2 linked regions of the Elephas maximus indicus genome follow. Each later gene encodes a partner of the first gene's protein in a complex. Links are inferred from orthologs where the notes say so. Each region holds a gene or a part of one and is shown on either strand. Other genes may lie near its edges. The genes, in order: PEAK3 and YWHAB.

Evidence for each region.
Region 2: the proteins of PEAK3 (region 1) and YWHAB are in contact, whole or in part, in a cryo-EM structure (PDB 8DP5), measured with the Homo sapiens proteins. The link is inferred for Elephas maximus indicus from reciprocal best matches to the Homo sapiens genes PEAK3 and YWHAB. Residues at the interface, in NP_940934.1 of Homo sapiens: Arg66, Thr67, Gln68, Ser69, Leu70, Pro71, Thr72, Arg73; in NP_003395.1 of Homo sapiens: Val48, Lys51, Asn52, Arg58, Lys122, Arg129, Tyr130, Gly171, Leu174, Asn175, Val178, Glu182, Ile219, Leu222, Asn226, Leu229, Trp230.

The regions. Positions count from the first base shown.
Region 1 is NC_064821.1:3,061,581-3,076,920, reverse strand, and holds the start of PEAK3 (protein PEAK3), read left to right. Parts: upstream 1-8,078; 5' UTR 8,079-8,167; intron 8,168-8,565; 5' UTR 8,566-8,566; coding exon 8,567-8,648; intron 8,649-10,284; coding exon 10,285-10,817; intron 10,818-15,340.
Region 2 is NC_064843.1:24,484,772-24,500,669, forward strand, and holds the start of YWHAB (14-3-3 protein beta/alpha), read right to left. Parts: upstream 7,734-15,898; 5' UTR 7,575-7,733; intron 3,484-7,574; exon of another isoform or gene 3,398-3,483; intron 1-3,397. UniProt on the Homo sapiens protein: Adapter protein implicated in the regulation of a large spectrum of both general and specialized signaling pathways. Binds to a large number of partners, usually by recognition of a phosphoserine or phosphothreonine motif.

The sequences.
Region 1 (15,340 bases):
AGAAATACAGCCAGAATGCTCCTTAGAAGTGAGGATGGTGAGACTTTGTCTCACATACTTTGGATATGTTATTAGGAGGGATCAGTCCCTGGAGAAGGACATCATGCTTGTTCAAGTACAGGGTCAGCAGAAAAGAGGAAGACCCTCAATGAGATGGATTGACACAGTGGCTGCAACAATGGGCTCAAGTATAGCAACGATTGTGAGGATGGTGCAGGACCAGGCAGTGTTTTGTGCTGTTGTACACGGGGGTTGCTAGGAGTCAGAACCAACTCAATGGCACCTAAAAACAATGGAACAATTTAGGAGTTCCTGGGTGGCACAAATGGCTAGGGGTTCAACTACTGGCTGAAAGGCTGGCAATTCAAACCCACCCAAAGGCACCTCAGAAGATAGGCCAGGTGATCTGCTTCCAAAAGGTCATAGCCTTGAAAACCCTGTGGTCTCAAAAAAAAAAAAATTGAGCTACCATATGACCCAGCAATTCCACTCCCAGTTATATACCCAAAAGACTTGAAAGCAGAGATTCAGACAGAGACCTGTACACCAGTGTTCACTGTAGCACTATTCACAATAGCCAAAAGGTGGAAACAACCTAAATGCCCATCAGAAGACAATGGATAAACAAAATGTGGTACACACATACAATGGAATACTACTCAGCCAGCAGGAGAAATGAAGTCTTGATACGTGCTACAGTATGGATGGAGCTGGAAGACATTATGCTGAGTGAAATAAGTCAATCACAAAAGAACAAATATTATATGAACTCATATAAAAAGACAAAAACAGGCAAAGATACAGAGACCAAAGTTTCTTAGTGGCCACCAGTGGCAAGAAGGAAGGCAGAGGAGGGGTTATTGTTTATGAAGCACTGAGTTTCAGTTTACTGTGATGGATAAAATAGCATTAAGGATACAGCTGCACGGCCAATTAGTGTAACTGCTGTCAATAAGTTGTACACCCGTAAAAAGTTGAATTGGCAAAAGTTGTGTGATAGACATAGTTACAACAATGACCAAAAAAAAAAACAAGTAGGTACTGAGGCTGCTTATGTAGAACCAAACACCTCACGGGATTCGATTCCTTGGCTTGAAGGTTTAGGGTCATGGTTTCCTGAGACATCCCAGTTAATTGGCCTAGTAAAGCTTTTAGTGTTTCTGTTCTACTTCCCAGGTCATCGCTTAGGGCCTGGGATCTTAAAAACATGCAAGTGGCCACCCAAGGCACAACAATTGGTCTCTATTCGCCTGGAGCAACAGAGGAAGGAGGGGAGTCAGGAACAGGAGGAGGACAGAGAATGTGTGGCTAACTGGCTCCAGGAACAACTGCCTCCTTTGCCATGAGACCAGGAGAACTGGATGGTGCCTGGCTACCTTTACTGAACATTTTGATCAAGGATTCTATAGAGGAATCCTGATCAAATGCGGGAAAATGCAGAACAGAATTTCAAATTCTCATGGACTCCAGACTTTCTGGACCCGTGGAGATTGGATGAATCCCTGAAACTATTACCCTGAGATAATCTTTAAATCTTAAACCAAAAATATCCCCTGAAGTCTTCTTAAAACAAAATAGCTTGTGTCTGCCTTGAGCATTGTGCTCTTTTAAGATCTATGTATATGGGATCAAATTGACAACAGCAGCTGTAAAGATTAAATGGGAACCTTAGGAGGCAGTGAGCTTATGTTCACAGAAGAGGAACCACCCAGAAAAGGAGGGTGAGAATGATTGCACAACCTAAAGAATGTCATTAATGTCACTGAATTGTACATAGAGAAACTGTGAAGTTGGCCTATATTCTGCTGTGTATATTCTCAATGACAAAAACAAAATAAGTTATTAAAAAAAAAAAAGTATAAAGTACTTGTACTCCCCCATGCATCTGTCAGTTTGTTATACTGTGGGGACTTTCCTGTTTCTGTGATGCTGGAAGCTATGCCACCAGTATTCAAATACCAGCAGGGTCACCCATGGTGGACAGGTTTCAGCTGAGCTTCCAGACTAAGACAGACTAAGAAGAAGGAACCGGCAGTCTACTTCTGAAAAGCATTAGCCAGTAAAAACCTTATGAATAGCAGTGGAACACTGCCTGATATAGTGCTGGAAGATGAGCCCCCCAGGTTGGAAGGCACTCAAAATACGGCTGGGGAAGAGCTGCCTCCTCAAAGTAGAGTCCACCTTAATGACGTGGATGGAATCAAGTTTTTAGGACCTTCATTTGCTGATATGGCACCACTCAAAATGAGAAGAAACAGCTGCAAACATCCATTAATAATCAGAACCAGGAATGTACGAAGCATGAATCTAGGAAAATTGGAAATCGTCAAAAATGAAATGGAATGCATAAACATCGATATCCTAGCATTAGTGAGCTGAAATGGACTGGTATTGGCCATTCTGAATCGGACAATCATATAGTCTACTATGGTGGGAATGACAACTCGAAGAGGAATGGTGTTGCAGTCATCGTCAGAAAGAACCTTTCAAGATCTATCCTGAAGTACAACGCTGTCAGTGATAGGATAATATCCATACGCCTACAAGGAAGACCAGTTAATACGACTATTATTCAAATTTATGCACCAACCAGTAGGGCCAAAGATGAAGAAATAGAAGATTTTTATCAGCTGCTGCAGTCTGAAATTGATCGGACATGCAATCAAGGTGCATTGATAATTACTGGCGATTGCAATGGGAAAGTTGGAAACAAAAAAGGAGTGGTAGTTGGAAAATATGTCCTTGGTGACAGAAACCATGCCAGAGATCAAATGATTGAATTTTGCAAGACCGACAACTTCTTCATTGCAAATACCTTTTTTCAACAACATCAATGGTGACTATACACAGGAATCAAATCAACTACATCTGTGGAAAGAGTTGAAGGAAAAGTCCAATATCATCAGTCAGAACAAGGCCAGGGGCTGACTGTAGAACAGACCATCAATTGCTCATATGTAAGTTCAAGTTGAAACTGAAGAAAATTGGAACAAGTCCATGAGAGCCAAAATATGACCTTGAGTATATCCCACCTGAATTTAGAGACCATCTGGAGAATAGATTTGATGCACTGAACACTAATGACCGAAGACCAGTCGAGTTGTCAAATGACATCAAGGACATCATACATGAAGAAAACAAAAGGTCATTAAAAAGACAGGAAAGAAAGAAAAGACCAAAATGGATGTTAGAAGAGACTCTGAAACTTGCTCTTGAATGTTGAGTAGCTAAAGCAAAAGGAAGAAATCATGAAGTAAAAGAGCTGAACAGAATATTTCAAAGGGCAACTCCAAAAGACAAAGTAGTATAATGACACGTGCAAAGACCTGGAGATAGAAAACCAAAAGAGAAGAACAGGCTCAGTATTTCTCAAGCTGAAAGAACTGAAGAAAAATTTCAAGCCTCAAGTTGCAATAGTGAAGGATTCTATGGAGAAAATGTTAAATGATTCAGGAAGCATCAAAAGAAGGTGGGAGGCAAGAAGATAAAATACTTAGGAATAAATCTTACCAAGGATGTAAAAGACCTATACAAAGAGAACTACAAAGCTCTACTACAAGAAATTCAAAAGGACATACTTAAGTGGAAAAACATACCCTGCTCATGGATAGGAAGACTTAACATAGTAAAAATGTCTATTCTACCAAAAGCCATCTATACATACAATACAATTCCGATCCAAATTCCAATGTCATTTTTTAAGGTGATAGAGAAACAAATCACCAATTTCATATGGAAGGGAAAGAAGCCCCGGATAAGCAAAGCACTACTGAAAAAGAAGAAGAAAGTGGGAGGCCTCACTCTACCTAATTTCAGAACCTATTATACAGCCACAGTAGTCAAAACAGCCTGGTACTGGTACAACAACAGACACATAGACCAATGGAACAGAATTGAGAACCCAGATATAAATCCATCCACATATGAGCAGCTGATATTTGACAAAGGACCAGTGTCAGTCAATTGGGGAAAAGATAGTCTTTTTAACAAATGGTGCTGGCACAACTGGATATCCATTTGCAAAAAAATGAAACAGGACCCATACCTCACACCAAGCACAAAAACTAACTCCAAGTGGATCAAAGACCTAAACATAAAGACTAAAACGATAAAGATCATGGAAGAAAAAATAGGGACAACCCTAGGAGCCCTAATACAGGGCATAAACAGAATACAAAACATTACCAAAAATGACGAAGAGAAACCAGATAACTGGGAGCTCCTAAAAATCAAACACCTATGCTCATCTAAAGACTTCACCAAAAGAGTAAAAAGACCACCTACAGACTGGGAAAGAATTTTCAGCTATGACATCTCCGACCAGCGTCTGATCTCTAAAATCTACATGATTCTGTCAAAACTCAACCACAAAAAGACAAACAACCCAATCAAGAAGTGGGCAAAGGATATGAACACACATTTCACTAAAGAAGATATTCAGGCAGCTAACAGATACATGAGAAAATGCTCTCGATCATTAGCCATTAGAGAAATGCAAATTAAAACGACGATGAGATTCCATCTCACTCCAACAAGGCTGGCATTAATCCAAAAAACACAAAATAATAAATGTTGGAGAGGCTGCGGAGAGATTGGAACTCTTATACACTGCTGGTGGGAATGTAAAATGGTACAACCACTTTGGAAATCTATCTGGCGTTATCTTAAACAGTTAGAAATAGAACTACCATACAACCCAGAAATCCCACTCCTCGGAATATACCCTAGAGAAACAAGAGCCTTCACACAAACAGATATCTGCACACCCATGTTTATTGCAGCTCTGTTTACAATAGCAAAAAGGTGGAAGCAACCAAGGTGTCCATCAGCGGATGAATGGGTAAATAAATTGTGGTGTATTCACACAATGGAATACTACGCATCAATAAAGAACAGTGACGAATCTCTGAAACATTTCATAACATGGAGGAATCTGGAAGGCATTATGCTGAGCGAAATCAGTCAGAGGCAAAAGGACAAATATTGTATAAGACCACTATTATAAGATCTTGAGAAATAGTATAAACTGAGAAGAACACATACTTTTGTGGTTACGATGAGGGGAGGGAGGGAGGGAGGGAGGGAGGGAGAGGGTTTTTTACTGATAATTAGTAGATAAGAACTGCTTTATGTGAAGGGAAGGACAACACTCAATACATGGAAGGTCAGCCCAATTGGACTGGACCAAAAGCAAAGAAGTTTCTGGGATAAAATGAATGCTTCAAAGGTCAGTGGAGCAAGGGCGGGGGTTTGGGAACCATGGTTTAAGGGGACTTCTAAGTCAATTGGCCAAATAATTCTATTATGAAAACATTCTGCATCCCACTTTGAAATGTGGCGTCTGGGGTCTTAAATGCTAACAAGCGGCCATCTAAGATGCATCAATTGGTCTCAACCCACCTGGAGCAAAGGAGAATGAAGAACACCAAGGCCACACTACAACTAAGAGCCCAAGAGACAGAAAGGGCCACATGAACCAGAGACCTACATCATCCTGAGACCGGAAGAACTAGTTGGTGCCGGGCCACAATCGATGACTGCCCTGACAGGGAGCACAGCAGAGGACCCCTGAGGGAACAGGAGATCAGTGGGATGCAGACCCCAAATTCTCACAAAAAGACCAAACTTAACGGTCTGACTGCGACTAGAGGAATCCTGGTGGTCATGGTCCCCAAACCTTCTGTTGGCACAGGACGGGAACCATCCCCGAAGACAACTCATCAGACATGAAAGGGACTGGACAGTGGGTGGGAGAGAGATGCTGATGAAGAGTGAGCTAATTATATCAGGTGGACACTTGAGACTGTGTTGGCATCTCCTGTCTGCAGGGGGGATGGGAGGATAGAGAGAGAGGGAAGCTAGCAAAATTGTCACAAAAGGAGAGACTGGAAGGGCTGACTCATTAGGGGGAGAGCAAGTGGGAGTAAGGAGTAAGGTGTATATAAACTTATATGTGACAGTCTGACTTGATTTGTAAACGTTCACTTGAAGCTCAATAAAAGTTAATAATAAAAAAAAAAGAAGGTGAGAGGAAGACACAGAGTGACTATACTAAAAATAATTGGTAGATGTCCAGCCAGTTCAAGAGGTAGCATATGAGCAGAACTTGATGGTACTGAAGGAAGAAGTCCAAGCTGCACTGAAGGCATTGGGGAAACACAAGGCTCCAAGACCTGATGGAATATCAGTTGAGATGTTTCAACAAACAGATGCAGAGCTGAAAGTGCTCACTCATCTGTGCCAACAAATTTCGAAGACAGCTTCCTGGCCAACTGACTGGAAGAGATCCATATTTATGCCTATTCCCAAGAAAGGTGATCCAACCGAATGCGGAAATTACCGAACAATATCATTAATATCACATGGGAGTACAGTTTTGCTGAAGATCACTCAAAAACGGCTGCAGCAGTGTATCGACAGGGAACTGCCAGAAATTCAGGCCGGTTTCAGAAGAGGACGTGGAACTATGGATATCATTGCTGATGTCTGATGGATCCTGGCTGAAAGCAGAGAATACCAGAAGGATGTTTACCTGTGTTTTATTGACTATGCAAAGGCATTCGACTGTGTGGATCATAACAAATTATGGGTAACATTGTGAAGAATGGGAATTCCAGAACACTTAATTGTGCTCATGAGGGATCTGTACATAGACCAAGAGGCAGACATTGGAACAGATCAAGGGGATACTGTGTGGTTCAAAATCAGGAAAAGTGTGTGTCGGGGTGCATGCTTTCACCATACTTACTCAATCTGTATGCTGAGCAAATAATCCGAGAAGCTGGACTATACGAAGAAGAACGGGGCATCAGGATTGGAGGAAGACTCATTAACAACCTGCGTTATGCAGATGACACAACCTTGCTTGCTGAAAGTGAAGAGGACTTGAAGCACTTACTGATGAAGATCAAAGACCACAGCCTTCAGTATGGATTACACCTCAACATAAAGAAAACAAAAATCCTCACTAGACCCATAAGTAACATCATGATAAATGGAGAAAAGATTGAAGTTGTCAAGGATTTCATTTTACTTGGATCCACAATCAACAGCCGTGGAAGCACCAGTCGAGAAAGGAAAAGATGCACTGCATTGGGCAAACCTGTTGCAAAGGACTGCTTCAAAGTGTTGAAGAGCAAAGATGACACCCTGAAGACTAAGGTGCGCCTGACCCAAGCCATGGTATTTTCAATGACATTATATGTGTGTGAAATCTGGACCATGAATAAGGATGACCGAAGAAGAATTGACGCCTTTGAATTGTGATGTTGGTGAAGAATGTTGAACATACCGTGGACTGCCGAAAGAACGAACAAATCTGTCTTAGAAGAGATACAACCAGAATGCTCCTTGGAAACAAGGATGGTGAGACTCTGTCTCACATACTTTGGACATGTTGTCAGGAGGGATCAGTCCCTGGAGAAGGACATCATTCTTGGTAAGGTAGAGGGTCAGCCAAAAAGAGGAAGACCCTCAACAAGATGGAGTGACACAGTGGCTGCAACAATGGGCTCAAGCATAACAATGGTTGTGAGGGTGGCGCAGGACCGGACAGTGTTTCGTTCTGTTGTGCACAGGGTCGCTATGAGTCGGAACTGACTCGACGGTGCGTAACAACAACAACAATCTTTACAGATCGTCAGTTCTTTCTCCCATGGAGCTGCTGCGTGAATTTGAACCACCGACCTTTCAGTTAGCAGCTGAGTGCTTAACCATTGTGCCATCAGGGCCCCTTCTGCCCGTGGTAACCACCAATAACTTTGGCCTGCTCGCTTTTGCCTATTCTGGATATTTCCCAGAGGTGGGATCCTACAATATTTGTCCTTTTGTGTCTGGCTGTTTTCACTCAGCGTCATGTTGTCAGGTGAACCATTCACTTCCGGGTCTCTCCCAGTCTCTTCCTTCTGCCTGGAATGCTGTTCCTTCTGCTTCCTGCCCTGTGAGGGCAGGTGGGGGTGTGGGCCCCGGGCTGGGGAAGTACTGCAAAAAGGGCCCCGCCCTCCCCCTGGGCCTTGGCCCGCGGTCAAACCGTTGCCCAGATGTTTCCCGTTCTCGACATCGGGCAGACATCCCTGAGGCCACTGGTTGCAGCTGCTGGAAGTTGGCCCTAAGGACCGCCCCCCCACCGGCTGGTCACTTGAAACCTGTTCCAGGCTCCTGTCCTGAGGTAGGGGGCTCCTGGGGGGGTGGGCTGCGGTAGGGAATGGCAGAACGGGCAACTTTCTCAATCTGGGGTGAGCTGGAGTTGGGGGGTGGGTGCCTCCCTTCGTGGCCCACCCCCAGCTGTCCTCTGGCAGCCTGGCCTCGGTGCTGCCGTCCGTCCATGTCCCTGGAGGCTGATGGTGACATTGTCACACATGCAGAATGACCCCAGAGTGGCTACAGAGCCACCCAGGGTGCCACAGCAGGGTAAGGGGGCAACAGGAGCCAGAGTTAGGGTCTCGTACTCTCACCTAGGGCCCTGTCTCTCCCTCCATGAACCTTGCTCACATCCACCTGCATGCACCCACGGACACCCTGCACACACCCACTCCTATGCGCCCCAACTCCAACTTTCCCCTGCAGCATGAGCAGCCCCGAGCCACCCGCCGAGACCCTCGCGCCCGACATCCCCACCTGGTCAAAGGAGCCCACGTACAGCAATCTGGGTGAGTGACTTAGAGGTGGCTGGGCGCAGCAGGGTGGGGCCACCCACTTGTAGAAATGAAACCGGGGCTCAGAGAGGGGCAGTCACACAGGAAAATGGGGTTACCTGGCGCTAGGCAGGGCCTGTCGCTCCGTGAGCCTCAGCTTCCTCATCTGCACACTGGGGATGGCATCCAGTGCCACCGTAACAAACTCCGTAAGTGGTGGCTTTAACGCACAGAACTGGGGGAAGGCTTTCTCTCTCTGTTGGCCCTGGGGGAAGGTTCCGGTCTTCAGCTTGTTTCCTGGTTCCCTGGAGATCTCTGTGTGGCTTGGCATCTTCCCCCATCTCTGCTTGCTTAACCTGCCCTTCTGTATTTCGTAAGAGATTGACTCAGTAAACACCCTCCACTAACCCTGCCTCATCCGGATAACAAGACAACCCATTCCCAAATGGGATTATAACCACAGGAGTAAAACCAAAAACCAAACCCATTGCCCTAGAGTTGGATCCAACTCATAGTGACCCTACAGGACAGAGTAGAACTGCCCCACAGGGTTTCTGAGGAGTGGCTGGTGGATTCGAACTGCCAACCTTTTGGTTAGCAGCTGAGCCTTTAACAACTGCACCACCAGGGCTCCAACCACAGGCATAAAAAAACCTGTTGCCATCAAGTCGATTCTGACCCATAGGGACCCTACAGGACAGAGAGGAGCTGCCCCATAGTGTTTACAAGGAGTGGCTGTTGGATTCAAACTGCTGACCTTTTGGTTAGCAGCCAAGCTCTTAACCACTGCACCACCAGGGCTCCAGCCACAGGCATAGAGGTCAGGATTTACCACACTTATTTTGGGGGGACACTATTCAATCCATAACACCTGCATTTCCTGGGGCTTCTGTAACGAGGTACCACACACACTGGGGGGCTTGAAACAACAGATTTGCTCTGTCTTCATTCTGGAGGCCTAACATCTGAAGTCAAGGTGTCGGCAGGGTTGTGCTCTCTCTGAAGGCTCTAGGGAAGGGTCCTTCCTTGTCTCTTCCAGCTTCTGGTGGCCTTGGGCGTTCCTGGACTTGTGGCTGCATCACTCCAGTCTCTGCCTCTGTCCTCACGTGGCCGTCTGCCCTCTGTCCGTATTTCTTTCTCCTTTCTCTAGTTAAGACAATAGCCATTGGATTTAGGGCACACCCTAGTCCAGGAGGAGTCTGCTTAATGCGCTTGGCTGTTAACCAAAAGTTTGGAGGCTCAAGTCCACCCAGAAGAAAGGCCTGGCAATCTACTTATGAAAACCCTGTGGGGCACGGTTCTATTCTGACACACGTGGGGTCACCATGAGTTGTAACTGACTAGACAATGACTGTTTTTTTGGTGTTTTTCTACTTTAGTCTGACCCCATTTTTAACTTAATTAATGATGTCCACCAAGACCCTGTTTCCAAACTAGGTCATGTTCACAGGTACTGGAGTTTAGGACATCAGCATGTCTTTTGGGAGGACACAGTTCAGCCCAGAACACCATCCCTACCCCATGGGGCATGGGGGAGTCACATACCATTATGATTCCCATTTTAGAGGTGGGACCATCGAGGCCGAGGGGCTGAGTCAGGTGTCCTGGGTCCCACACACCTGACATCCTCACAGCCCTCCCTCTTCCACAGGTGAGATCCGCACCCACCTGTTACCCTCCAAGGCCTGCCGCCTCCGAGCACTTGGGTCCCCCTCGGATGACCTGAAGCCCCCACCCCTGCCCAAGAAGACCCTTACTCGAACCAAGTCCCTGCCCACCTACGGGACCCCTGGCCCCAGCCCTGCCCACGCCAGGCAGCCTCGGAGGCCCCTCCTGGGGTCCCGCAGCGTGGACAAGAGCCAGGAGGCTGAAAACAGGGTCAGCCCAGCCAGTTTCCTCGAAGAGCTGACCTTCAGCACGCCGGACACTGAGCTGGGCTGCTTCTTCCAAGACCTGAACAACCTGGAGGCAGTGCACGACACACTCGCCGCCCGGCAGCTGGCCAGTCTCAGCACCATCCATGCCCGTCTCCACACCCGGCTCTTGGGGGGCCACCCTGGGCCCTGCAACCCCAGCCACAGCTTCCGCCTTCTGGACGACTCACCCTACGTGGACAGCGGGGACGCCATCTACTACCGCGTGGTTCGCGTGAACAAGGACGCCTGGCACATCCTGGCCGCCAAGGTGAGCACAGGCTACCCCATGCTGGGGTGGCACCCAGCTTTGCCTCACCCCCAATTTTCCATCTTAGGCACAACCCATAACCCATGTTCAAAAAAAAAAAAGAATTGCCATCAAGCCGACTCCGACTCATGTTCTCTTACAAGGACTCCACTCATACTGGAAAGGTTATAGGTTTGAGCTCATCCAGAGACACTCAGAAGAAAGGGCTGCCAATCTACTTCAAGAAAACTGAGCCACTGAAAACCCTATGGAATGGACTTCTACTCTAACATGCGTGGGGTTGTCATGAGTTGGAGTTTGGTTTTCCTATTGGATTTGGGGCCCCCCTGCCTACAGTATGACTTCAAGTTAGCTGATAAAATTTTCAAAGACGTTATTTCCAAACAGGGTCGTGTTCACAGGTACTGGGGTTAGGATTTCAGCCTATCTTTTTTGGGGGGACACAATTCACCCCATAACAAATACCCACACCCAGAACCCCACCCTAGCAGCTATCATTTTTAAATGCCACCTCCAGGTGATTCTAACGTAATCCCCAGAGCTGATGTCCTCTTGACCTTCTAGAGCTTCGCTATCCAGTGCCAAGGTCCCTGACCACACGTGGCTGTGGCTATGGAACACTTGAACTGTGATCTGTCGGCATTGAGATATATGATAAATTGAAACTACACATGAGATCTCAGAGACTTAGTGAAAAAAAAAGAAAGAAAGAAGGGAGAGGGAGGGAGGAAGATAGGGAGGAAGGAAGGAGGGAAGAAAGGAAGGGAGAAGAAGAATGTAAAACAGCCCATTAATAAGCCTGCTTGCTAACCAGAAAAGGTCGGCAGTTTGAACTCACCCAGCAGCTCTGCAGGAGAGAGTCTTGGTGATCTGCTTCCATAGAGATTTTAGCCGACAGGAGCTCCAAGTCCATCAGATGGGAAGAAGACAGCCTTTTGAACAAATGGTGCTGGCAAAACTGGATGTACATCTGCAAAAAAATGAAACAGGACCCGTACCTCACACCATAGACACAAAAACTAATTCAAAATGGATCAAAAACCTAAATATAAAGCCAAAAACTATAAAATTGATAGAAGAAAAAATAGGATCAATGCTAGAGGCCCTAATACACAGCACTAACAGGATACAAGCCATAACCAACAACACACACACTCCAGAAGATAAGCTAGATAACTGGGATCTTCTAAAAATTAAACACACTCATCAAAAGGTTCACCAAAAGAGTAAAAAGAGAACCTATAGACTGAGGAAACAGTTTTTGACTATTACAGATCAGACAAAGTTCTAATCTCTAAAATCTACAGGAAAATCCAACACCTCTACAGCAAAAAGACAAATAACCCAATTGAAAAATCGGCAAAGGAAATGAACAGACACTTCACCAAAGAAGACATTCAAGTGGCCAACAGGCAGATGAGGAAATGCTTGCGATCACTAGCCATTAGAGAAATGCAAATCAAAACTACGATGAGATACCATCTCACCCCAGCATTACCAGCACGAATCAATAAAACAGGAAATAACAAATGTTTGAGAAGCTGCTGAGAGATTAGAACTCTTATGCACTGCTGGTGGGGATACAAAATGATACAACTATTGTGGAAAATGATATGGCACTTCCTTACAAAGCTAGAAATAGAAATATCATATGATCCAGCAATCCCACTCCTAGAAATATATCCTAGAGAAATAAGAGTTGTCACACGAATAGACATACGCACACCCATGTTCATTGCAGCATTGTTCACAATAGCAAAAAGAGGGAAACAACCTAGATGCCCATCAGGAGGTGAATGGATAAACAAACTATGCTACATACACATGATGGAATATTATGCAACGATAGAGAACAATGATGAATCTGCAAAGCATCTCACAACATGGACGAATCTGGACGGCTTTATGCTGAGTGAAATAAGTGATCATGAAAGGACGAATATCGTATGAGACCACTACTGTAAAAACTCATGAAAAGTTTTACATGCAAAAAGAAATAATCTTTGATGGTTACAAGGGAGGGGATGGACGGGGGGGATGGAAAAACTCTAAATGGACAATAGATAACTGGTAACTTCGGTGGCTTTTATTGACTATGTAAAGTCATTCGACTGTGTGGATCACAACAAAGTACAGATAACATTGCAATGAATGGGAATTCTAGAACACTTAATTGTGCTCATGAGGAATCTTTACATAGATCAAGAAGCAGTCATTTGAACAAAACAAGGGGATACTGCATGGTTTAAAGTCAGGAAAGGTGTGCTTCAGGGTTGTATCCTTTCATCATACCTATTCAATCTGTACGCTGAGCAAATAATTTGAGAAGCTGGACAATATGAAGAAGAATGGGGCATCAGGATTGGAGGAAGACTCGTTAACAACCTGTGTGATGCAGATGACACAACCCTGCTTGCTGAAAGCGAAGAGGACGTCAGCCTTCAGTATGGCCTACACGTCAACATAACCAAAACAAAAATCCTCACAGCTGGAGCAACATCACGATAAACGGAGAAAAGACTGAGGTTGTCCAGGGTTTCATTTTACTCGGATCCACAATCAACAGCCATGGAAGCAACAGCCAAGAAATCAAAGGACGCATTGCATTGGGCAAATTGACTGCAAAAGACCTCTTCAAGGTGTTGAGAAGCAAAGACGTCACCTTGAGGACTAAGGTGCCCCTGACCCAAAACACAGTGTTTCCAATTGCCTCATACGCACGTGAAAGCTGGCAATGAATAGGGAAGACTGAAGAAAAGCTGACGCCTGTGAATTATGGCGCTGGCAAAGAATACTGAATATACGATGGACTGCCAAGAGAACCAACAGATCTGTCTTGGAAGAAGTACAGCCAGAACGCTCCTTCAATTGAGGATGGTGAGACTTTGTCTCACAAACTTTGGATGTATCGTAAAGAGGAACCAGTCCCTGGAGAAGGACATCATGCTTGGTAAAGCAGAGGGTCACCGAAAAAGAGGAAGACCCTCAAGGAGATGGATTGGCACGGGAGTTGCAACAGTGGCCTCCAGCATAGCAACGATTGTGATGGCAAAGGACCGGGCAGTGTTTTGTATTGTTGTGCACAGGGTTGCTATGAGTTGGAACCGACTCAACAGGACCTAACAATAACAACTTTGGTGAAGGGTAAGACAGTACACAATACTGGGGAAACCAGCCCAACTTGTACAAGACAAGGTCATGGAAGCTCCATAGACGCATCCAAACTCCCTGAGGTAGAGAATTGCTAGGCTGAGGGCTGTGGGGACCGTGGTCTCGGGGAACATCTAGCTCATTTAGCATAACATAGTTTATAAAGAAAATGTTCTACATTCTACTTTGGTGAGTGCCATCTGGGGTCTTAAAAGCCTCTGAGCGGCCATCTAGGATACTCCACTGGTCTCAACCCTTCAGGAGCAGGGGAGAATGAAGAAAACTAAAGATACGAGGGAAAGATCAGTCCAAAGGACTAATGGACCACAGCTACCATGGCCTCCACCAGTCTGAGTCCAGTACAACTAGATGGTGCCTGGCTACCACCACTGACTGCTCTGACAGGGATCACAATAGAGGGTCCTGGACAGAGCAGGAGAAAAATGTAGAGCAAGATTCTATCTCACAAAAAGAGACCAGACTGACTGACCTGACAGAGACTGGAGAAACCCTGAGAGTATGGCCCCCGGCACCCTTTTAGCTCAGTAATGAAGTCACTCCTGAGGTTCACCCTTCAGCCAAAGCTTAGACAGGCCCATAAAACAAAACGAGACTAAAGGGGCACACTGGCCCAGTGGCAAAGACTAGAAGATAGGAAGGGACAGGAAAGCAAGTGAGGAACCCAAGGTTGAGAAGGGAGAGTGTTGACATGTCGTGGGGTTGTCAACCAATGTCATAAAACAATGTGTGTTTTACTGTTTACTGAGAAGATAGTTTGTTCTATAAACCTCATCTAAACAACAACAAAAAAAAAGTCAAGTGAAATTAAAAAAAAAAAAAGGTTACAGCCTAGAAAACCCCATGGGGCAGTTCTACTCTGTCACATGGGGTCACCACGAGTCAGAATCAACTTGACAGCAACTAACGACAATAATGAGCCATTGAAATGATAATATTTTGGACACATTGGGTTCAGTAAAATATACTAAATTACTTTCACCTGTTTTTCTTCACTTTTTTTTAACGTGGTTACTGGACAGTTGTAAACCGTATGTGTGGCTGCGTTGTCTATCCATCGGACAGCCCGGCGCTGGTACAGGAGCTGCTGGGCCCCTCGCTCCCAAGCAATCAGCAACGACCCACCCCTTGGCCAGCAGGAAACTGTGACCTGCTAGCCACCCCCTTCCCTGGCTGAAAACACCAGTTGCCGGGGAGCTGACCCCAACTCATGGCGACCTCACGTGTATCACAGTAGAACTGTGCTCCACAGGGTTTCCAGTGGCTGCTTTTTTGGACGTAGATTGTCAGGCCTTTCTTCTGTTGCACTCTGGATTGACATGAACTTCCAACCCTTGGGTTAGCAGCTGAGTGTG
Region 2 (15,898 bases), on another chromosome or scaffold:
CCGAAGTAGATACAGAATGAGAACAATTATCAATTGGAGAAGGGAAACTGATGGGCATCTTAAAAATCCAGACTCAAAAGTTTCAACGGGGAGACAGAAAGAGCCACATAAACCAGAGACTACATCAGCCTGAGACCAAAAGAATGAAGATAGTGCCCGGCTACAACCGGTGACTGCCCTAACAGGGAACACAACAAAGAACCCCTGAAGGAGCAGGAGAGCAGTGGGATGCACACCTCAAATTCTCATAAAAAGACCAGATTTAATGGTCTGACTGAGACTAGAAGGACTCCGGAGGTCATGGTCCCCAGACCTTCTGTTAGCCCAAGACAGGAACCATTCCCAAAGCCAACTCTTCAGACAGGGATTGTACTGGACTATGTCATTGGAAATGATACTGGTGAGGAGTGCGCTTCTTGGATTAAGTAAACACATGAGACTACGCGGGCAGCTCCTGTCTAAAGGGGAGATGAGAGGGCAGAGGGGGTCAGAAGCTGGCTGAATGGACATGAAAACGGAGTGTGTTGTCTCATTAGGGGGAGAACAACTAGGAGTATACAGCAAGGTGTATGCAAATCTTTGTATAACAGACTGACTTGATCTGTAAACTTTCACTTAAAGCACAATTAAAAAAAAAAGTTTCAATGGGGTCTAAGGAACTGAGAGTGAATTCTCAACAGCATTCAGACGTACCATTCCAGAGGGCATCCACAGTGCCATAAAGTAAAAGTTACAGTTCTGGAGTCATTCTGCTGGAGGAAAACAGATGCCAGGGTACTGCAGGAGGACTGAGAAAGTAAGTGGACCAGGTGGTTTGTGGGTGTTACCCGGAAAAAGTTAAGTACTTCTGGCTCTCAAAGAAAACTATTCACTGAAAAACACCCACTCTAAGAATGTCTGTGTGCCATTTTATACAAAATACCAAGGAGTCCTGGTGGCTCAGAGGTTAAGCATTTGGCTGCTAACGGAAAGGTCAGCAGTTCGAACCTACGAGCCACCCCACGGGAGAAAGACGCAGCAGCAGTCTGCTTCCATAGAGATTACAGCCTGGGAGACCCTACAGGGCAGTTCTACTCTATCCTACAGGGCTGCTGGGAGTCGGAGTCGACCTCAGGGCAATGGAATTGGTTGGGGTTTTTTTTTTTTTAATAATAAATGTAATTTTATTCAAACATTTACAGGCCATTTATTAGAAAATAAGACACAACATATCTGAAATAGAACACTTAGAACTTACATCCAGTGGACATTTAATTGTGGAGGAAAACTACATCTCTCTTTCAAAATCCCTTGACCTCTTTTGTATCAGTTGTTGAGTATCATTGCTAAAGGGATGTCCAAATGCTCAAGGTTACACTGAAAACAACGGTGGAGGTGTTACGTGATTTGCCAAGGTCACACAATGGGAATCAACAACAGATACGACAATAAATTGATCCCCGGGTTGATCAATCCAAAAAGACAATATGCTCATTCTGTTCCATAAAAACAGCCCGTCTGTTGATCTTGTAAAGTGGTGTCAAAAGCCTGGGGCCCAAACAAACAAATGAAGCCTGTGCAGTAATGGGGGGCAAGGTAACCAATTAAAAAAAAAAAAAAAGCTTCAGACTCGCCAATATAATGGAATGACCCTGTCCAATTTACCAGCACCACATGCCACTTCTATATGGGGCAGTCCCAGGTAGCTCTAGAATACCTGCCCTCTTTGAGCCTCAGTTTTTTCATCCATAAAACAGGCCAATCTACTTAATAGGGTTCTTGGAAAGAGTAAATGAGTTCATGAAGCGAAACATTTAATACAGTTTCCGCACACTGTAAGAGCTCAAGTGGCAGCCACAGTATATTGCATACAAAAGGCTAACGAACAAATGGTCAGCCCCAGTTAAGGGACGCTTATTACGTACCTCATTTTCTTGTAAATCCAGGCTGCTTTTTTTAGAGACTTTTAAAAGAAAGCACACATGTTAACTTATCTACGCCTACTTATAAAATAACGCTTATCACAGTTTACTTCAAACGTTTCTGTTGGCTCCCACACTGGACTGTGGGCTTAAGGCAGGGACTCAGGCTTTCATCTTTGAACACCCAATGTGTAGCACAATGCCTGCCCGTTGAATATAAACTATTTGATCAATTGATGCATTTTTTTTTTAAAGGTGAAGAAGGCTGATTTTCCTGTGTAGACAGAAAGAGGCAGACCATATTTTATCTGTAAAATACAGACTGTATCTATTGTCTGCCTTAGACTCCTTTTTGAAAAGAGCCATCTCAGCTCTAATCAGGAGGCAACGCTACCCTTCTTTTTTTTTTTTTTTTAAACTAATATTCCTCAGCTACTAATCATTATATTTATAGATTCAAAAATCCAATCAGTTTCGGTTAAGGATGATGAAAAGCATTTGGTGATGGTTGCTCAACATGAAGAAGGCAATTAAAAAAAGAAAACAAACCCGTTGCCATCGAGTCAATTCCGACTCACAGCAACCCTATAGGACAAAGCAGAACTGCCCCATAGGGTTTCCAAGCAGCGCCTGGTGGATTGGAACTGCTGACCTTTTGGTTAGCAGCTGTGGCTCTTAACCACTACACCACCAGGGTTTCCAAGAGGACAGAGCAATGAAGGTAATTAGTGTCACTGAATTATGCACTCAAAAATGGTTAAAATGGCAAATGTTATACATGTTTTACCATGATTAAAAAAAAAATCCAACTACTAAGCTATACAGAAAGTCATATCAGCTAACTGGCTTAGTAAATAATTACAACCAAAATATCCACCATTTAAAATCCACCTGAAGTGCCAAGCACTGAGGAGTTTATAATAGTTCATGTAATCCTAAGTATCTAAGAAGGAGACCCCTATTACAGATGCCAGGAGTTAACCTGCCCAGGGACACACGGCCACATACAGCAGAGCTGGGATCTAAAACAACATTCATTTTAAAATTAATGCTCTTTCCTGTATGCTTCACTATTTCCTAAACATCAATTATAACTCCAATACTTACTTAACGGAAAAGATGGACTAGACAATTTTTTCAAGAGTCATGTAAAGTTACTACAGTTGAAATTTTAGTATAACTAGCTTAAAAAAACCAAAATAAAATTAAGTTAAAAATAGCATATGCCAAAAACTTATCAAACTGTCAAACGAACTTTAAGGCAAATAATAACAAATGAGAGGGCTCATATCTACTTTATTATAGCCTTTGATCTCTTTGCCCTGGTCAAAAGCAAACACCAAACTGGTCGCCACTGAGTCGACTCTGACTCATAGTGGCCCTCTAGGACAGAGCAGAGTCGCCCCGTAGGGTTTCTAAAGTTGTAAATGTTTACGGAAGCAGACTGCCATATCTTTCTCCGTCGTCTGAGCAGCTGGTGCGTTCGAACTACCAACCTTTCAGTTAGCAGCCGAGCGATTAATCACTGCACCACCAGGGCTCCTCGTCCTCGTCAAGGCATCAAGGACACTCAGAAATAACTTTTCTTGTCCGGTCTCTTTGGAAAAACAATGAAATAAACTAATCAGTACAGGAAAAAACTTACATAAGAGGACTAGCCAGTTTTTTTTTTTTTTTTAAATCATCTTCCCTAACCTACAGTCAGCTCAGAATGACTTGTTCTTTTGAGGCAAAATAGGCCACCAATCATTTCCATCTCATTCCAAGTATCAGAACTACATGAACTATGCTGATTGGAGTTCTTTTAGCTGAGAAAGCGGCAGGATGAGTGGTTTGTAGTACACATATTACAAAAAACTGCACATTAGTCTGATTTTCCTCCTCCAGTATCAACCTTAGAAAAATTCCCTCAGATTCCAGCTCCAACTGCTAGTTTCTCCATCATGACGCGTAGATGACTAAACCAAAAAAACCACACCCGTTGCGGCTGAGTTCATCCCGACTCACAGCGACCCTATAGGACAGAGTAGAGCTGCCCCATAGGATTTCCAAGGAGTCGCTGGTGGATTCAACTGCCGACCTTTTGGCTAGCAGCCCAGGGCTGCGCCACCAGGGCTCCATGTAGATGACTACCAGGACCATCTTCACGTAGACAGCCAAGTGGTTTCAAAGCCTGAAAGTTGCTATTATGTAATTTCTTACCCGGGCTAGCGTGAATTGTCGCCTCCCTTAGAAAAACACAGAAACCAAGGAACTTAAAGCACCTTTACAAGTAAATTTTAATTCGTGCTCTCAGGTATCCTCATAGTTTGATGCCAATGAAAGAACAGGCAGCATAACAGGATGTTATAATTTAGAACTTGCTTTCTACTTACATAGATATAGTCCCTCATCTCCTCCTCCTCAACAAAATATGGGAAGTCTAAAAGTCTACAGGGAAAGCAATATAATAAACAGAAATAAATAACGATGATCCTGACCAAATTCCCTAAGATGAAGAAGCTAGGGATGGATAAATCCATGTGCCACAAAGTAACTGATGAGCTTTTTCCCTAAGTATGAAGCAAGTACTAGAAAAACTGGATTTTTCACAGGCTTGTTACTAATGTACACCAGCAGTATTAAGGGATCCCTACGCGCCAGGATGGAGATACCCGTACCCCGTCGCCATCTTGTCGATTCCAACTCACAGAGACCCTATACAACAGAGGAGAACTGCTCCATAAGGTTACCAAGGCTATAATCTTTATGGGAGCAGACTGGTACATCCTTCTCCTGCAGAACAGCTGGTGGATTCGAACTGCCCACCTTTCAGTTAGCAGCTGAGCACTTAACCACTGTGCCACCAGCGCTCCCTAGGGTGGAGATATTTCCTCCCAATAAATTATATATTCAAAAATAGTTAAAATTCCTGTTCAAACACATCTATTTTAGTAGAATACATGCAGAGAAAAACTAAGGACTAAACGGTGTTCACAAGAAGAAAATGCATGTGTTGTTCTACCACACTTAGAAATCTATCATTCCCTGGAGCCAGACTGCCTTGGTTTGATTCCTGGCTCCAGCACTTACCATCTGTGTAACCTTGGGAAAATTATTTACCTTCTCTGTGCCTGCGTTTCCTCTTCTGTAAAATGAGGCTAACAGAGTTATCTATTGTTGGGTGTTATAAGGACTGAGTTTATATGTGTAAAGTGCTTACAGCAAAGCTTGTCACATTGTAAGTGATAAGCGGTAGCTATGCCTGATGCTACCTCATCGGTTGATAAATAAATCCCAAATAGATGGAATGCATACATACATCTACCTACATACATGTTTCTGTGTGTTTGTGTTCATGAATACATGATCGAATAACATCAAACACTTACTACTATGTGCCAGATACTTATTTTAATTATTGGATTCGCCGCAACAACCCAGCTAAGACTACATTACCATTCCCGTTGTACAGATGAGAACATGGGCTCGGAAAGACCAGAAATGGTATATACAAAATAAAGTTCTACAATAATATTTTTTGAAAGCAACATGTGTACAAGAGGGTTCGGTTTCATCAGGTTACAACTGAAGAAAAAAGCCATTAGCAGTGAACACTGTGGTTAAAAAACAAAACCAAAAGCTTATATTTAACAATTTACAGGTTGTAAAAATGCCTCATGGCAACTCTGCAGATAGGGAAACTAAGAACCAGAGATTTAAGTAATAAGCTGAAGTTCACACAGCTAGAAAATGCTGCAGGCAAGACCTGAATCAGATTTCTCTGACTCCAGGTTCACTGCTCTTTTCGCTTCTGTATCCACACAGCCAAATGGGCAAAACGCACTTTTTGCAGTTCCAAATCTCCGGAGACACAGCCTAGGGAACTAGCATCATGGGAATTTGCCCAGCCTGTTTTATGGAGCCTGCCTAGCTGATCTATAGAGCTCCAATTCTAAAATGGCTTCAACTTAACACAGGCACTGCATGATGGGAAATGTACAGAAGATTATAGGGTAGGAGCCATACTCCTGGGACTGACAGTCCATAAATATTTGCTACCGATGAATGAGGATATTCAATCTAAAAACTAGGTGTGTGGCCTAGGCCAAATCGCCTCATTTTTCATAAAGACTGCATCTGTAAGATGAGTGAATGGTTTCTTATCTCACTGAAACGAAAGATTAGGAAAATAATTCAGCAGCTGCCACTGGATCATCAGCCTTCCGTTTTGAAAGCCACACTTAAATTCTCACTTGTGTCCAGTAAAACCGATAGGTTTTCCCCTCACCACAACATGGGCTGCTAAGGGCATGAATTCTAGAAAAATGAGGGGCTCAGACCACTGATATCCATCCCCAAAAAAGAAATGGGTGTACTAGAAGCAGTCAAGAAAAAATTCATTAAGGACTAATATTTATAAATTTCCAAAAGGAAAACGCAAAAAGCTAAGTAGCCGCATACATATCCAATTCTATAAACAGCGTTATGTTCTATACACTGCATCCGAACATTTGAGACAGAGAGAGAAGTCCAGACGATTTTCATATTCTTACAAGCCCTTCACCTTTCTGCTTTGGCTTCTGTGGCTGTCTGATTTTCTATGATCATGACATCGTCTTGCCAAATTCCATCTCCCACACAGGCCAAGTAAAATCAGAGCTTGATGCTACCTAGCCTTAACAAAGAGAAATGCAGTGAGGGCAAGCACAAGAGACATGATTTTTATCGAAAGGTTGGCAAATTGTCTTACCAATACTGCCACCTTTGAAAGCCCCGTTACGTGCGAGTTCTCCATTTGCAATAGACAAGGGTGTATTTATTTTCTGAAAAAAAGGGGCACAAATCATGTCCACTCCTTCCTCACCACCAGGGAGGCCACCAAGCAAATTTCAGACCAAAAAACATGCTCTCATACAGTATGGGGGAATTTCGGGGGAGGACACAAAATACCTGAGCATTAAATGAAGGTAAATGCTGTGGGAAAATGCTTGGATTCCCAGCCTTTGATAATTTTTTTTTTCCCCCTGGGGATTCCACCTAACTCAGTAACCGGTTCCAACAAATGCATTTTCTTAACTCAAAACCTCAGCCCAGTGCTTCCCGGGTTAATCTCGGGTCCTCCCAGGCTCCATAACCAATGAACGACGATGAAATGGCTTTACTGCAAAGTGGGAGGGGGTTTTCCCCCCCGCTGTCTCCCAAGGTTAAACCCCTTACTCATCCAAAGAGAGTGATGCACGGGCCCCGGGGCTCGAGAACTCGCCCGTATTTGGTTATATCTCAATTTTTGGAAACCGGAAAACAGGGAGGAGGAGGTGATAGAGCTGAAAGGGGCCGCTCTCGCCGCCTGCGGCGAAGGGAGGGGTCGCGCGGGGATCGGAGCTGGAGAGGGAGGGCCCCGGGTCCACGGTCGGCGGTCTTGGCCGGCTCAGCATGGAACCGCACCCCGCCGCCAGGGCAGGGCAGGGCCGCAGGAGGCGAGGGAGGCCCGCGCCGCTCGAGGAGGCAAAGGGCCCGGCCCCGGAAGCAGGGAGGGGCCGCGGTGAGAACAGGCCCGCACCGCAGGCGGCCGCGCGGGACCTAGAAGGCCGCTCGGCTCTCGCCGGAGCCCACCCGCGCGGCCGCCGGAGCCGAAAAGGAGCCTCAGGCTTGGGTTCCCAGGGGCTTTGGGCGGACCCGGCGCGCACTCACCGTAGGAGGACTGCAGGCAGCAAAGACACTTCCCAGCGAAGCTCAGAGCGCGATGACCGCTTCCTTCCCAACCCCAATTCTCAGGCGGCGACGGCAGCGGCGGCGGCAGCTACCCCGGCTCCGGAATCGGCGGCGGGTGGCGGCAGCTCCACTTCCGCTCCGGTCGCCACTTCCGCTCCGGCCCAAGCCCCTCCCCGCCCCTGCGCCGTCTCGTCATTGGGCGAGCGGGGCACGGGGTTGCACCGGCCTCGCGGGAGGGGCACTGGCTGGAGGCTGGAGGAAGGGGAGCGGGATGCAGCTGGGCGGGGAAGTGCGGTGGGCCTAGGGTGGGAGCGCGGAGGAAGAAGGGGAAGGGGACGGAAATGGGGGGAAGCGAGGGGCGCGGGAAGAAGAAGCGGGAGGGAGGGTAGAGGGCGGAGCTGAGAGCGAGGGTCGGAGAAAGGGATCTGTGGGAACAAGGACAGGGAGACGGGACTGGGTTTAGGTGGAATGGGGGCATCAGGGTTATTCTCTCTACCTAGGCTGGGAATTCGCCTGGACCAGCCCAGAGACTCCAGTCATCGGTTCCCACTCCACCCCAAAGTAATCCTCACGAGGTCGGAGGCTGAGGCCCATCCCTTTTTCCTGTGTGCTTTGAAAAGGCAGGACCAAGTGAAGAACAGAAATTGCTCATCCCCTAAATTGTCACTTAATCCTCCCTTCACCCTATCAAGGTGCTTAATTCCCCCTTTCATAAACGGAAGAGGCCACGTAAAGCGCCAGGTTTCGATGGCGAAGGTCGCAGTGCGTGCGATCGCTTCACTGAGATATCCCTCCCCAAGGCTCGGGGAGGAAGCTTAAGAGAAGGAAACGGGCCTCCCAAGGCTCGCAACTCCCTTGACAGCTCTCACGCAACATTCTCTTCCTCCGAGGCAGGTGACCCTTAAACCCAGTTCTTCAAAACTCCTCTTGCCTGCGTTCCCTCCCGCTTGTTCATTTTTTTCAACAAATATTTATCAAGCACCTACCATATTGCCAGGTATTGTGCTTAGCGCTGGGGACGTGGCAGTGAATAAGACACACGGGAGTTTACAGTCGGGTAGGAGAAGGTAAAAAGTAAGTAGGCCTCCAAAGTCTCTCCTTTAAAAAAAAAAAAAATTAACCAGTTCCCCATGTGTATCAGAATAGTACTGTCCTCCATGTCCTTTACCCTTTTTTTTATAGTGATAACCACCTAATTCATTACCCAGCCATGCACTCATCAACTGCCAGAGTGATATTTTTAAAATGCTGTTCTAATGCGTGCTTTCCTTGCTTAAATCTTTTGGTGACTGCTCAGACCTAGAAGACAATATGTAAGCTCCTTTAGTGTGACAATCAACCTTCTCCAGAAGCTGCCTTACTTTCAGCCTTTACCTCCTATTTCTCCACGTCTGAAACACCCCAGTTTTATCGGATGACCTCTTATCCTTCCAGTATGCCATGTCCAGTATTTCTAAACAGTTTGAATTAGTTGCCAATGTTTTTTACAAACAGATTTCACTTGGAAATTGGCATTTCTTCCTTGTTGGACAGCTCTGGGTCCACATTTCTGTGTGGCAATAATTGGCTGAAGCCGAAGAGTGCCCTTGCTATATTACGTATGGGTTTTCCAAGGGGTCCCCTCCCCACCTGAGCCTGCTTTCCTCATTTATGTTGCCTGTTTTGTAGGAATTTGTGTCAGTGACCCCTGTACTACCCACATTCTACACTGTTGTATGGTGTACACAGAGTAGGTTTAACTTCAAAACCTCTAAATTTGAACCGTAGTGAGGTTTCCTAGTGGAAAAACCTCTCTGGGGATCAGTCTTTGGCAGCCAAACACCAGTAATCCCGAGGCTGCTCAGATTGAAGTGTTAATGTCACATGACTGTACCTCATGCCCCCATCCAGAAAACAGCCTAGTGGGCCAGAGGACTCAAGCTGATTACTCCCACAAATGACGTCATCAGTGCCTTGAGGGAAGAGAAGTGTCCTTTGCCGGGCATCCCTGGGTGCCTGCAGATGTTACATGGATTAGCTCTTTTCACCAGCTCTGCATTCTAGGCCCAAAAAGGCCAGGTGTGGGCAAACAACAGCCCATGGGCTAAATTCTACCTGTTGTGTGCCCATCGAGTTGATTCCGACTCATAGCGACCCTATAGGACAGAGTAGAACTGCCCCATAGGATTTCCTGGGCTGAAATCTTTACAGGAACAGATCAAAATAACAAATTTCCAAGGCTCTTCTCTCCGTGGAGCAGCCGGTGGATTCAAACCACCAGCCTTTCGACTAGCAGCTGAGAGCCAAACGATTATGCCACCAAAAAAAAGCTCCCTTAAATTCTACCTAGCGCCTGTTTTTGTAAATAAGGTTTTATTACAACACGGCCTTCTCATTTGTTTACGTATTGTTGATGGCGGTTTTGGTGTTACAGAGGCAGAGTTGTTGCAACAGAGACAGTATGGCACATAAAGTCTTTTTACTATTTGGCCTTTTATGGAAAAAGTTTACTGTGTTTTCGGTGAAGGTATTCATTTCCTAGGGCCCATGTAACAAAGCACCATAGATTGGATGACTTATAAGAACAGAAATTTATTGTCTCGCAATTCTGGAGGCTAGCAGTCCAAGTTCAGGGTGTCGGCAGGGCCATGCTCTCCGAAGGCTCTAGAGGAAGACCCTTTCTGGTCTTGCTCAGCTTCTGGAAGTCCCAGGAGTTCCTTGGCTTGAAGCTGTAGCATAGTGCCATTGTCACATGGTTGTCTTCCTCTTGTCTATGTTTCTTCTCTTTATGTGTTGTATAAAGAGGACACCACTCAGATTGCATTAGAGCCCCCCTACTCCAGTATCGAGGGTACTGGGTGTTTGTTTTTGGGTACTCCAGTATGACCTCATGTTAATTTAACTGATAACACCTTCAAAAATCCTGTTTCCAAACAAGGTCACATTCATAGGTAACTGGGGTTAGGACTTCAACATATCTTTTTTGGGGACACAATCCAATCCAAAACAGACATTATTATGTCTGAATATGAAGCTCGGAAATGCTGCTGCCTCCTTGTTAGCAGCCTGATGATGATGCAGAACAGAGCGGTAGAATCTGCGTACTGGATAACAGTGATAAACTTCTGAATTGACCAACCCTTTTTTAAAGACTACGGTCTTTCTAGACTTGCTCGTACGTGAAATAACAAATTTCCTTAAAGTTTAAGTCACCTTGTGGCAGATTTTTTTTTTTTAATTTAAAGTTGAAAGTGTATTATCTGATAGGGACACAAAAGAGATATTAAAATATAATGTGGTAAATGAAAATCATGGAAATATATATGTGCGTGGTCTTATAGAAGCCTGGGTAAAGTTTGGGGATATATTAGAAGATCAGGAAAGATTTGCTAAAAGAGGTGATACATGAGCCTTAAATTCCACAAAGATTTTTTATTGAGTCCAAGGCAGTATTAAAAAAGAAAAGTGGCAACATTTTGCATAAAGGAAAAAGGTTTTACAACAGTTAGTAGGTACCCAGCTCACCACCATTTTGCATCCCCACCAATGATAGATAAGGATTCCAATTTCCCCAGATCCTCACCAACGTTTGTTGTTTCCTGTTTTTTTTTTCTTTTATCTTGTCCATCCTAGTGGGAGTGAAATGGTATCTCATTGTGATTTTGATTTGCATATCTCTGACGGCTAATGATGCTGAGCATCTTTTCATGTGATTGATGGCCACTTGAATGTCCTCTCTGGAGAATGTCTATTCAAGTCCTTTGCCCATTCTGTGGTTGGGTTATTTGTCTTTCTGTTGTTAAATTGGTGAAGTTTTATATATATTTTGGTTGTTGTTAGGTTCTTGTTGAATATATGGTTTCTTAAGATACTCTCTCAGTTGGTAGCTTGTCTCATAAGAATAAACTTGAGACAGCTAGTGTATTTCCTTTCTTTTTCCTTCCTTCTTTTCTTCTTTTCTTCTTCCTTCCCTCCTTCCTTTCTTTTTCTTTTTATTATGATAAATTTCAAATAAACACAAAACTAGAGGGTACAGTAGAAAGTACAGTAAACCACCAGGTATATCCATAATCCAGCTTTATTTTACTATTCTATCAATTTCTCACATTTTTGCGGGGGAGGGGGCAGGAATATTTTACAGCAAATCCCAAACATATCATTGCATTCATAAATATCTTAGTATGTAGCTCTAAAAGATCAGTTTTTTTAAAAAAAACATAAGCATAATTCCATTATTACACTTAAGGAAATTATTAATAATTCCTTACTTTTTTTTCCTGATTGTCTCAGAAATACCTTTTTTATGTTGGTTTATTCGAATCAGGATTTAAACTAGGCCTTCATGTTGCATTTGGTTGCTAAATCTCTTTTAATCTGTAGTAGTTTCCCCTCCTCCTCCTTTTCTTATATAATTTATTTGTTGAAGAAACTGTGTAAATTATTTTACAGAGTTTCTCATAGCCTAGATGTGTTTTTTTTTTTTTTAGATGTGGCTGATTGGACCCTAGTGGTGTTTTTAGAATGTTACACTATCTCTTATATGTCTTGTAGACTGGTACTTAGATCTAGAGGCTTGAGTAGATTCTGCTTCAATTTTTTTGGTACGAATATTTTATACATGGGACTGTGTATTTCCCCTGGCATCATATCAGGAGACACATACTGTCTAATTGTTCCTCAGTGATCTTTTCAGCATGAAAACCCATTTCCTTTGGTTCTGGGATGTTGTAAAATATTTCTTTGACGATTCCCTCCCTTCCTGTCCCCATTTTCTATATTTTCACTTTCTGGAACTTCAGTTATTCAGATGTTTGGCTGTCTGAACTGGTTCTTTAATTTTATTATTCTTTTTTCCTTTCTTCTGTTTTTCATCTTTTGTCTTTGGCTCTACTTTCTGTATATTATTTTTAAACCTGCCGCCAGTCAAGGTTCTGTCCTGAATACAGGAACAGAAACCATGGTAGGTATTTTAAGCAGAAAGGAATGTAATAGGGGGATTAGATGCTTACAAACTAATTGGAAGAGCTGTAGTAGCAGAAAACCCAAAACCAGACATGTTGGTCAAGTTGATCCTGACTCATAGCAACCAAAAGGACAGAGCAGAACTGCCCCACAGGGTTTCCAAGGCTGTAAATCTTCACAGAAGCAGACTGCTACATCTTTTTCCCTCGAGGCAGCTGCTGGGTTCAAACTGCCAACCTTTCAATTAGCAGCCAAGCGCTTAATCACTGCACCATCAGAGCTGCTAGAGTAGCAGACGTCAGGGGAAACTTGTTTCGAAGTCCCCATAGCTGTGATTGAGAAGTTGGGGCTGCTACTGGCACTCCTAGTGCTACCACCGTAACTGCCTGGCACATAGGAAGCTGGGGACCAAGCACTGAATCAGAGAGCCTGGCCCTTTTCACTCTGGTCAAAAGTAAATTTCAAAGACAGGAGGGCTATTGTTTGGTTTGAATAAGAAGTTGAAATTTCGTGGTAGTCTGACATAGCAACTGGCATGAGTTATAATATTGCATATAACCTACGCATGAGGTCTTTGGTATCCATAATGCCAATTTTGACTTCATTTTAATAAAACAGGGCTGAGATCCTGACTCAGAAAGACCTGTAAGTGTAATCAGAAACGGAGTTCCCATACCTCACATTAACTTCGCCAGACAAGGGTAAAGGGTAGGCTGTGTCAAGAGTACTAGAGTTCTCCTAGACTCACAGAACTGAATTTTGGTCCTATAATCTCCTTTGTTCTCATGTAGATGAGGTCATTGGAAAGGTAGGCACCAGTAATGTAAAAAAAAAAAAAATATTATGAATCTGCATTTCCATTTTATGATAGCTGAACCAGAAATAAGTTTTACAAGGTGTCTAGGCTCTGACAATTTCTACCTGCAGAGAAAGTGACAAGGACTTGTCACGCTTCAGTACTTCCTCTCTAGCCTTGGAAAGTTCACAGAACGATCCGCCTCCAGTCTCCTTCTTCGGAGTACCAGCTGGGCAAAAAGAACCATTAGTTTATTGGATGTTTATGTGTGTATTTTAAGAGCGATATTTTTTAGCATTTAAGTAGGAAAACACCTGCTGTATTTTAAATAATATATTTTTATTGCATAGTGTCTTAGGCTAAGTTCTCTAGACAAGCAAAACCAGTGAAGTATATATACAGTCATCCCTTGGTATCCACGGGGGATTGGTTCCAGGACCCCTGACAGATACCAAAATCCATGATGCTCAAGTCCCTTTTATAAAATGGCATAGAATTTGCATATAACCTACACATATCCTCCTGTATACTCTAAATCATCTCTAGATTATTTATAATACCTAATACAATATAAATGCTATGTAAGTAGTTATACTGTATTGTTTAGGGAAAAATGAGAAGAAAAAAGAAGTCTGTACATCTTCAGTACAGACGCAACCATTGTAGGCCTAACTACATGGTACACATCAGACGTGAGGTGAACGGTGCTCAAATACCAAGTGCTGGAGAGAGACTGAGGGTCTGTGAAATGGCTGGCAGGCACAGCAGGGGATGCCTACACATCACTTTTTTTTTTTAATATTTTCGATTCACTGTTGGTTGAATCCACAGGTTTGGAACCCGCCAATACAGAACCCATGGATATAGAAGGCCAATTATATCAATTATATATATATATATATAGACAGAGAGAGAGATTTAGATTCATCTCAAGGAAATGGCTCTCTTGGTTGTAGAGGCTGAAGTCCCAAGTCTGTGGGTCAGGCTCAGGCTGGAGGCCTCTCCTGATTGACATAGCTGCAGGGGCTGACAAACCCAAGATCAGCAGGTCAGGTAGCTGGCTCACGGGCTGCAGAGGCTGGCGAATCCAAGATCACCAGGTGTCTTAGTCATCTAGTGCTGCTATAACAGAAACACCACAAGTGGATGGCTTTAACAAAGAGAAATTTATTTCTTTACACTAAAGTAGGCTAAAAATCTTAATTCAGGGCATCAGCTCCAGGGAAAGGCTTTCTCTCTTTGTCAGCCTTCTCATCAATCTTCCCCCAGACTAGGAGCTTCTCTACGCACGGACCCTGGGTCCAAAGGACACGCTCTGCTCCGGGCACTGCTTTCTTGGTGCTATGAGGTACCCCCCCTCTGCTAAATTCCCTTTCCTTTTATCTCTTGAGAGATAAAAGGTTGTGCAGGCTACACCCCAGGGAAACTCCCTTTACATTGGATCTGGGATGTGACCAGGTAAGGGTGTTACAATCCTGCCCTAATCCTCTTTAACATAAAATTACAATCACAAAATAGAGGACAACCACAGAATACTGGGAATCATGGCCTAACCAAATTGATACATTTTTAGGGGGCATAATTCAATCCATGACACCAGGTACGATGGCAGGCCACTGACTCACAGGCTGCAGAGAGTGACAAACCCCAAGACTGGCAGGCAGTACAGCAGGTCACTCACTCAAGTCCCAAGCACTGAAGGTCAGATGATGACGAGCCAGATGGAGGATCCAGAGCAAGCAAGAGAACTTTGCCAGAATATCCATATATACATATTGGATGCAGGACACACTCCTGAGGAAATTCCCCTTACAATTCACTGGCTGATCACATCAGAGCACATCATGGAGGATGACTACATCATTACGTAACTGCCAAACTACATCATGGCAAACCACTGAGAATCATGGCCCAGCCAAGATGACACACAACTTTAATCATCACAATTGCTAATGAAGTTGAAATCACTTTTACATCCTTTCCTACTTTGTTCTTCTCCCTCTCTCCTCAAGGAGATTGGTTATGTATATTTTCCTACCATGTTTTAATATTTTTACCACATATGTATATATCCATGGAAACCCTGGCGGCGTAGTGGTTAAGTGCGAATCCACCAGGCGCTCCTTTGAAACTCTATGGGCAGTTCTACTCTGTCCTACAGGGTCGCTATGAGTTGGAATCGACTCGACGGCACTGGGTTGGTTTTTTGGGGTATATATCCATGAACAATACATAGAGTTGCTTTGTGGGCTTTACAGTTTTATACGAATGCCATCTTATTGCGTGGATCATTGTGCTCTTCACATTTTTCATGCAGCGTTAAGTTCTTAAGACTTAACACATTTAGATTTACCGATCTGGTTGATTTTCACTGTTGTGACATTACTCCATTGCCTGAATATACCACAATGTATTTATTGATTGCATTTCTATAACACACATTGATGTTACAGGTTGTTTGCTCAACACTGCAGTGAAGACCCTGGAGCAGCTCATGGAGTGTCTCTAGGATGTATATTTAGAAGTGGAGCTGCTAGATCACAAAATGTGTACATTTTTCAGCTTT